2 linked regions of the Canis lupus familiaris genome follow. The protein of the gene in region 1 interacts with the protein of each later gene in a pairwise test. Links are inferred from orthologs where the notes say so. Each region holds a gene or a part of one and is shown on either strand. Other genes may lie near its edges. The genes, in order: TNS2 and SHFL.

The links.
Region 2: the proteins of TNS2 (region 1) and SHFL interact in binary tests that used the Homo sapiens proteins (3 or more experiments, as listed by UniProt). The link is inferred for Canis lupus familiaris from reciprocal best matches to the Homo sapiens genes TNS2 and SHFL.

Annotation. Positions count from the first base shown.
Region 1 is NC_049248.1:44,543,386-44,547,184, reverse strand, and holds part of TNS2 (tensin-2), read right to left. Parts: intron 3,520-3,799; coding exon 3,397-3,519; intron 3,298-3,396; coding exon 3,233-3,297; intron 2,755-3,232; exon of another isoform or gene 2,652-2,754; intron 2,375-2,651; coding exon 2,291-2,374; intron 1,859-2,290; coding exon 1,746-1,858; intron 1,654-1,745; coding exon 1,593-1,653; intron 1,355-1,592; coding exon 1,279-1,354; intron 1,046-1,278; coding exon 916-1,045; intron 826-915; coding exon 760-825; intron 664-759; coding exon 550-663; intron 439-549; coding exon 1-438. UniProt on the Homo sapiens protein: Tyrosine-protein phosphatase which regulates cell motility, proliferation and muscle-response to insulin. Phosphatase activity is mediated by binding to phosphatidylinositol-3,4,5-triphosphate (PtdIns(3,4,5)P3) via the SH2 domain.
Region 2 is NC_049241.1:51,360,838-51,365,429, forward strand, and holds the start of SHFL (shiftless antiviral inhibitor of ribosomal frameshifting protein), read right to left. Parts: upstream 2,871-4,592; 5' UTR 2,741-2,870; coding exon 2,720-2,740; intron 2,278-2,719; coding exon 2,154-2,277; intron 1,968-2,153; coding exon 1,918-1,967; intron 300-1,917; coding exon 261-299; intron 94-260; coding exon 1-93.

The sequences.
Region 1 (3,799 bases):
TTCCCTCCGGCCGGTAGTAGCCCCCGTTGGGGACCCCGCAGGGCTCCCGGTAGCCCTGGCGGCAGGAGCAGTGGCGGCTGAGGCCGGGCCTGCGGCCCGAGTACACTCCGAGCGGCGGGCCCGCGGCCGCGGGGGGCTGCTCCTCGTCGTCCAGGATGGCCGTCTCCCGCCCGGCGCCCCGGCCCGGCCCGGCCACCCCGCAGCCCCCCAGGAGGCGGTCCAGCTCCTGGCGCTCGGCGGCCGTCGGGGGAGGCCGGCCAGGGGACTCGGCGGCCGGCTCGGCGGTCAGCGTGGACGAGTGGCCGGAGTCGCTGCTGACGGAGAGCATGGGGGGCGGAGGTGGCTCCGGGGAGGGTGCCGGCGGGGTCTGGCGGGGGGCCCGCTGCACCTGGGCGTAGGGACTGCCATCCAGAGGTCCCCGGGTGTGGGTGGGGGAGCCTGGCGGGAGAGGACCAGGGAGGGAGTGAATGTCGGGGCCTGCCGGAGGCTCCAGCTCAGGGGCGTCTGCGGCGGGGAGGGAGGGAGTGGGCGGCCGGGCCGGCCCCGCACCGTCCACGCTGTCCTCGTGGTGCTGATTGAAGTGCTCGTAGGAGTCCCAGCGCACGGCGGGCTCTGCGGTGTTGTAGTCAACGGAGACCGAAGGGTCATTCCGTGGGGTGCTGCCTGCGGAAGGGCCACCCAGGTGTTGAGGGCCGGGGTGTCACCTGCAGCCCCGACCTGCAGCCCCGACTTGTAGGCCCGACCGGGGCTGGCTCTCACCTTTGACCTTTTCAGGGCTGGAGGAGAAGACGAACTCCACGGAGGCTTGGAATGGGAACCTCTCATCTGGGAGGGGAGGCGGGGGACACGGTGAGGAGCCAGGTCCCCTGGCCGCCCCCTCCCCGGGCTCCAGCCCCACACCTGTCTCCCACTCACCAGCCCAGGCCTCGTCCAGCTGGTCCTTGGGGAAAGTGAGCCGTGGTCCGTGGATGGTGCACGTGTGGAACTGGACTCGAAACACAAGGGTCCGGTCTGTCCCCCGGCCACCCTTGTGATAGCAGGTCACCTGGATGAGGGAAGGGAGACCGGGGGTCAGGCCTTCCTGTCCGCTGGCGTCCCCTCTGTGCTTCCGTCCTGGGGACTGTCAGGCTGCGGCTCTGCCCTGCCTCAGCTCAAGGCGATGCCCTCGCTGGGGACGGGCTCTCCGCCGGCCAGTGGGCCTCTGGATGACTCACGGGAGACCGTGCAGCTGGCGCGTTCGCCCCCCCATGCACCCCCTCCCCAGGATGGCCCCCTCACCATGACATCGCCCTTGAGGAGGAGGGCCGGCTCCAGGCTGATGCAGAGCTGCTGCGGCCCGGGGCCGGCGATGTGACTGAGGAGGAGAGGGACGGGACAGAGGCTGAATGGGAGGCAGTGGGGCTGGGGTGGCGGCGGGGGTGTGGGGCGTCAGGAGGGAGCCGCGAGCCTGGGGTCTGAGCCCCAGTGAGACGCCTCCAGCTTGCTCAGCATCAGCCTCTCCCTCCTGGTGCACCAGGTGCAGTGGCCGGAGCTGGAGGCGGGGGCGCCTGGGGAGGCTGGAAGGGCAGGAAGGCCGGGAGCAGAGCACTCACTAGATTCCCGAGGTGTAGACCAGCTGCATGGACTGGTAGATCTTGAGGAAGGGCTGGAAGCCTGGAGGGGCAGGCGGGAGAGGGCGCGGAGGGGCGCTCAGCGGAGGGGCTGGAGGACAGGCCTCCCCGCGGGGCGCCTCGGGGCACACTCACCGGTGCCGGGCTCAAAGGCTGGCAGCACGGGCACGAGCACGTAGTGCAGGAAGAGGGGGCTGCTGTTCATTCTGATGGAGCCGGACAGCAGGCCGCTGAAGTAGCTGATGTACCTGCGGGGGTCGGGGGCAGGAGGGGGGGACGTAAGCCTCGCCCCTGGAGGTCCCTCTGTTTCATCTCTACTAAGCACACCCCTGCCCAGCCTTGGAAGGCCGGCCCTTCTCAGCACGCCCCTCCCGTCTCCCGGCTCACTGGAAAGTTCTTCCTCACATCTAACCTCAACCCTCTGCCGTCTCAAAGGTCTGTAGTTGCTGGCTCCCCCGCCTAGCCTGCTCTTCCCCCCAGCCCTCTGCTTCCCATGACGAGGTGGGCTCCGACTGTCCTGCAAGTCTGTCTTTCCCACAAGCTCCGTGAGAGCAGGGACCGTGTTGGGCCTGAGTTCTCAGCGCAGGCCCTGTGTCCCGCGGGTGTGCTGCTCCTACGAGCGACCCTCGGCCTCGGGGCCCGCGCTGCTCCGGTGGCCCAGCCCCACCCCGGCTGCTCACCGGCGCTGGGAGGGCTGCAGCTCCGCGGCCACCTTGTCCTCGCAGAACTTCCTCATGGTAAGCGTGGCCAGCGCCTGGTCTGCCCTGGGGACCGCAGGGCCAAGTGTGGGGGATTAGGGGCTGGTATCTGTCCAGGCCTCCCAACCCCAAGCCCCAGGGGAGGGAGGAGATGTGTGATCCCCTAACTCTAGAGGAAGCCCCGGGGTGGAGGTGGAAAGAACTAGAAGCCCCACATACAGTCACTTGACTACTCGCTGGACCTCAGGCAAGTGTTCCCTGAGTTTTTAGTTTCCTCCTCTGTAAAACGGGGGTGATGAGACCATGTTATGGGTTGAACTGTGTCTCCCCAAAAGATATGTACCTCAGAACGTGACCTTATTTGGAAATAGGGTCGTTGCAGATGGAATTAATTAAGATGTTATACTGGAGTAGGGATGAGCCCTTAATCCACTATGATGGGTGCCCTTAGAAGAAGAGAAGAGACAGACAGACACAGACACACACACAGGAAGAAAGCCACGTGATGACCGCGGCGGAGGCTGGAGGGACGCAGCGGCAAGCCGAGGAGCGCCAAGCACTGCTGGTCACCACCAGAAGCTAGACAGGGGCAAGGAAGGGTCCTGCTCGGGGTCTCAGCGGGAGCGCGGCCCTGCCGGCCTCTCGGTTTTAGACTCCTAGTCTCCAGGGAGACAACTAGTTCCTGTTGTCTTAAGCCACTGAGTCAGTCTGTGACATTTTGTTACAGCAGCTCTGGGAACCTGATACAAATCCTCTGCTGGGAACTGTGGTGAGATACAAGTGAAAAAAGGAGGTGGAAAGGCCAAGTTTATAGGAAACGGCTCTCCAAACACAAAGGGGGGCTTCAAGGGGGATGGGCCCATCACCGGCAGCTGGAGACAGGGTCACTGGGGAAGGGGCCGGTCAGGGGCCAGGGAGCCTCACCCTGCAGAGATCTTGCTGTAGTGCATGTAGGCGGAGACGATGACGCCGAGCTTGCCCTTGCTCCCCTGAGGACAGGGGGAGAGAGAGAGAGAGGGGAATGGAGGGCCAGCCGGCGCCCCAGGCTCAGGGCACCCCAGCCCCGTGAACCCGAGGTCCCAGCCCACCTTGCAGTACAGTACGACCACGTGCTGTGGGTCAGCACTGAGCCACGTCTCCATGGCTTTGCAGATGGAACACAGCTTGTCCAGGGGGGGCGCGTGCAGCTCGGGCCAGCCGAAGTCCTGGACCTGGGCGGGTGTGGGGGTACAACTGAGGGTGGGGGCCGCGACCGGAGAGAGACGGGTGGGGCTGGAAGAGGGAGCGGGTGTAGGGTCAGTCGGGGCCAGGGTCAAGGGGCTCTTGGTCCTCCAGGAGAGCCTCACACTTGCTCGCTGGCACATGGGTTGGTACCTGCTGCGCCATGCTTTGGAGTGTCTCGGGGAGCAAGTCATCCGGGAAAGTGCGTAAGAACGAGGTGGATGCCAATCGCTACTATTAATGAGGCTGCAGGGGCTTGGGGGGGGCAGT
Region 2 (4,592 bases), on another chromosome or scaffold:
CTGCCGATCGACGGCGGGAATGAGGTCTTCTTGCGCACGTTGGAACATGCGGAGGTTGGCTTCTGTCAGTGGCAGGAGGGACGTCGCCACGGCCTTCGGGATAGGGACAAGAGGGTGGTCACGCCTCCTCCGCTAATATGAACACGCGTAAGTCTCCTCTCCTGCTGCTATAATGTCTCTCCTCGTCCATGGACACCATCCACTCTCCCCAAGGATGTCCTCCTCACTCCACCTCCCCCCATCCCATACCCCGGACTCACCTGGATGTCCTGGTCCTGCTTCATGTCCTCCGGTGGGTCCTGGGTGGAAACATCAGGGGCAGGAACTGCGGGTGCAGCTCAGACCTCTTTTTACCATTATTTGTTGGGGGTGAGGCTCCTGGACGAGGAGGGAGGCAGGGTCCTGGCCCCATATGAGTAGGGAGTCCCTAACTCAGGAAGGGCTGTCTGAGCAGGGCCTGCCTGTAGATGGCCAGGTACACGACCTCAGTTGTCCTCACAGTGGAGGGCACACCTATTATCCCCACCGCTCAGACAAAGAAACTGAGGCAGAGCTGGGAGAGGGGTGGCCGGAGATCACCCTGAATGAGAATGGCAGAAGAGGCCTGGATCCCCGCGCTCCCTCCCTGCTGGTAAATGCCACACACTTGGTGGCACTGTGAGGGGTCACCTCTTTGAGTCCATGCCGCTTTAGGCTAAGGGCTTGGGCTCTGGATTCAGACAGACACAGGTTCCCATCCGACTCCAGCACTTCCCGCTGCGAGGGCGGAGCCAAATCACTCCCCCTGCATCCCTAATGAGGGGCATCTCAGAGCGCAGCTATGGTTCTAGGTGGAAACGGCTTAAATGCCACCTGCTTGGCCTGCTTGGCGAGTGCCTTCAGGTTGGAATTGGAGGCAACACGCGGAAAGCCTGCTGCTGGGGAGTGCTCACTTTCCTATAATTTTTTACTTTTATTTTTAATTTGTTTATTATTATTTTTTAAAGGATTTTATTTATTTATTCATGAAAGACACAGAGAGAGAAAGGCAGAGACGTAGGCAGAGGGAGAAGCAGGCTCCAGGCAGGGAGCCCGATGTAGGATTCGATCCTGAGACCAAGGATCACGCCCTGAGCCAGGGGCAGGTGCTCAACCGCTGAGCCACCCAGGCGTCCCTCCTATAATTTTTTAAAGAATTATTTTCAGTAGGCTCCACACCTGATGTGGGGCTTGAACTCACGACCCTGAGATCAAGAGTAGCATGCTCCCCAGACTGAGCCAGCTAGGCGCCCCTCCTATTACCTTTATCATACCCTTTACACATGTAAATATAAATAACTCAATATGTACCTTATTATACTCTTCAGCAACTATGGGGGGGGCCTTATAGGAAGATGAAATGCACAGTGCACTGGCCACCAAAGTCATTTAAGGTGTAAAGTAGCCATGTTGCATTTGTGCCTCAAAGCCATTCATTCATCATATGGGCTCCCCTGCCCTCTCTCCTCCCCCATCTCATGTTTATCTTAGCCTGTCTTGCGTGTTCTTTTGCTCACTCTGTTCCCTCTTCCAGGAAGACTGTTTCCAACTCCCCCACCACCCAGGATCCCTTCTCCCCAGCATCAAAGCTGGCACCACCTCTTCCAGGAAGCCTTTCCCGACTGACCTCCAGGGGTCCTCTGTAATGACATCAGTCCTGATTCATTTCACCGCCCAATTTCACGATTCTCTCCCCCACTTAATACCACCAACATGTAATGAGTGCCGACAGTTTGCAGGCTCCCGGGTCAGACGCATGACTAAAAGGTGACTAAGTCAATGTGGATCATGAACTAGGAACTGGTGGTGCACAGATGGGGCTCATCATGGATACACCAGGTTCCTTCCGTTCCCGGTCCCCAGCTACCCCATCCTTGGAGGGCAAGAGGGGCAGTTTACCTGGGCATCCAGGTCATTACTCAGTTCCTGTCCATCTTTCTGCTTTACCCCTGGTGGCAAGAGTTAAGTGTAAGTAAAAGGTCCTTGAAGGATCTTCTGGGAGTTTCAGGGTCCCCAGAACCCCAATATAGACCCTCCCCAGAAGATGAGCGCGGCGCTTCTTCACACAGACCACACCTCCCTCGCGCGCTCCCCCCTCCTCTCCCCTACCAGGGCCGGGACCCCAGCCGGCTCACCGTACACGATGGAGCGCCCCACTCCGGTGTGGTCGCTGCCAAATTTCCTCATCAGAGTCCCCGCCTTCTTGGAGGATACCTTCCCATGAAACTTCTCCCGGAGGCGCCGGACGCTTTTCTCCAGCTGGGGTGGGCACAGGGGGGTTCCGATCGGGGAAGGAGAGGGGCGACTTGCCCTCCTCCATCTCTAGGCATCCTTCTCCCCGCCCGAACTTGACCCTTGCTTTTGGCCTCCCCCACCATCCCTCTACGGCATTTCCTGGGAGAAGCCAAAGTCCCCACCGGGCATTGGGGGAGGGAGCGGAGTGGGGCGAGCGCCCCCGGCTAGGGGAGGAGGCCGGCCAGGTAACCTGGCCTCTGACCCTTGACCCTGCAGCCCCCCTTTTCCTCGAGGAGGCCGCATCTCACTCTGGGGGGCCGGGGCGGTCATTATCCTTTCCGAGGGGGGGCGAGTGCCCGCCAGGGGTAAGGTCTGGGCTTCGGATGGAGTCCCCAGAACTGCGAAGCCCCCTCGGCGCCCCCGGCGCCTCTCGGGGGCCCCCGGCCCAGGCGCAGGCATCTCCTACCTCCACACCTTCTTGAGACATGGTGGCGGCGGCGGCGGCGCGGGTTCCGCGAGGGGCCGCACTGCGCGCTCGGAGCCCCCCTACCTGGGCGCGCCCGGGTCCAGCAGCCGCGCAGGGCAGGGGGCGGGGCCTCCGGGCGGCTCCGCCCTTCCTTCTCGGCCCCCTCTTTCGCTTTCGATTGCTGGGGGTGACGGCGTGGACGGGGCGCTCTGGCTCCGCCCCGGCTCCGCCTCTGCCCTCGCGCCCCAGGCCCCGCGGGCGCCGGGGGTCTGCACCCTGCGGCGGAGCGCGCGGGCCTCGGGCGGTGGAGGCGGCGCGGCCTCTGCAGTCGGTCACATGTCCCCACGCTGCGCGGGGTCCGCGTCTTCACGTCCCTCGTGGGGGCGGGGCCGCATCGCAAGGCCGCCGCGAATCTCCGGGCCCCCCCCAGCTCGCGCTTCCCCACTTCATCGCTCTCGCAGCTCCCCTCCCTCGGGACCTGGGGCCCCTCCTCGCTCTGAGGCTCTTCCGCGGCTACGTCCGGACCTGTCTGCACCTCAGTTTACTCCTCTGTAAAATGGGGATGATAACAGCGGCTACATCGTGGCTGGGTGTGATTGCCAGGATTCGAGACCCGGGGTGGAGCGCTTAGTAGCACCTGGCATGGGGTAGCCTAACGAGTCACTAAGCCGCCTACTGTGTGCCACAGCTGGAGGTAGTTGGGCGAAGGAGGAGATGCTTGTTGGATAAATAGAGGTCACTGGTGCCTAGCAGTCCAGCAACAGCCTGTAGTCCAGGGGTGCCTGGGAATCTGCACTGTAAATCGGAAGGTTGAGAATCCTCTGGGCCAGCACAATTTTTTTTTTCCCCTGAAATAGGCTCCACACCCAAGGTGGGGCTTGAACTCGTGACCCTGAGATCAAGAGTCACATGCTCCACCCACTGAACCAGCCAGAGGCCCCTATTACATAAAGCTATTCTTTAACACACACGCACACACACACACCAAAAGAAACGGAGATGAAAAAGTATAGATGTTCTAATGTTTTCTACTTGACCTCCAAAGCTTTGTTTGTGGGTCTGTGTGCCCCGTCTGGAGCCTATTAATGAGTGTAAACAGTTCATGGTTCTTTGTGACTGAATGTGGAATTTCAGGCTGAGAGCCAGGCCTGTAGCTGCATAGAGGACCTGGGATTTTATACTGAGGGAGGTGGGGAGGTGTGGAGGGGCTCTCTTGTTATACACGTATCTGTGATATATAGTACATAATCTCCACTTACCAGTGAGGAGAAGGAGGTCGCAGCCAGGGTGGGTGACAAGCAGGGAGGAAACAGGTGGGAAACTGATCCAGCTCCGACATGAACCAGATCTGCTAGATTCTTTCTTTCTTTCTTTCTTTCTTTCTTTCTTTCTTTCTTTCTTTCTTTCTTTCTTTCTTTCTTTCTTTCTTTCTTTCTTTCTTTCTTTCTTTCTTTTCTTTCTTTCTTTCTTCTTTCTTTTTTTCTTTTTTTTCTTTTTTAGAGAGAGGCAGTGAGCCTTTGAACAGGGGGAGAGGGGAGAGGGTGAGGGAGAGAGAGAATCTTAAGCAGGTTCCACACCCAGTGTGAGCCCGAAGTGGGCTAGATCTCACAACCTGGAGATCACATCCTAAGATGCAACCAAGAGTTGGGATGTTTAACTGACAGAGCCACCCAGGCATCCCCAGATCTGCTAGATGCTCACGATGATGGCCATCATATCGAGCTCTGACTCTGCGCCAGGCACCATTCCAGGCACTGAGCATCGAACTGTCTCATATAGTTTTTTGTGGATTAGGAATTTAGGGATGCTTTTGCTGGGCTTTCTGGCCCAGGGTCTCTCATAAATATTGTGGTCAAGATGTTGGCCAGGGCTG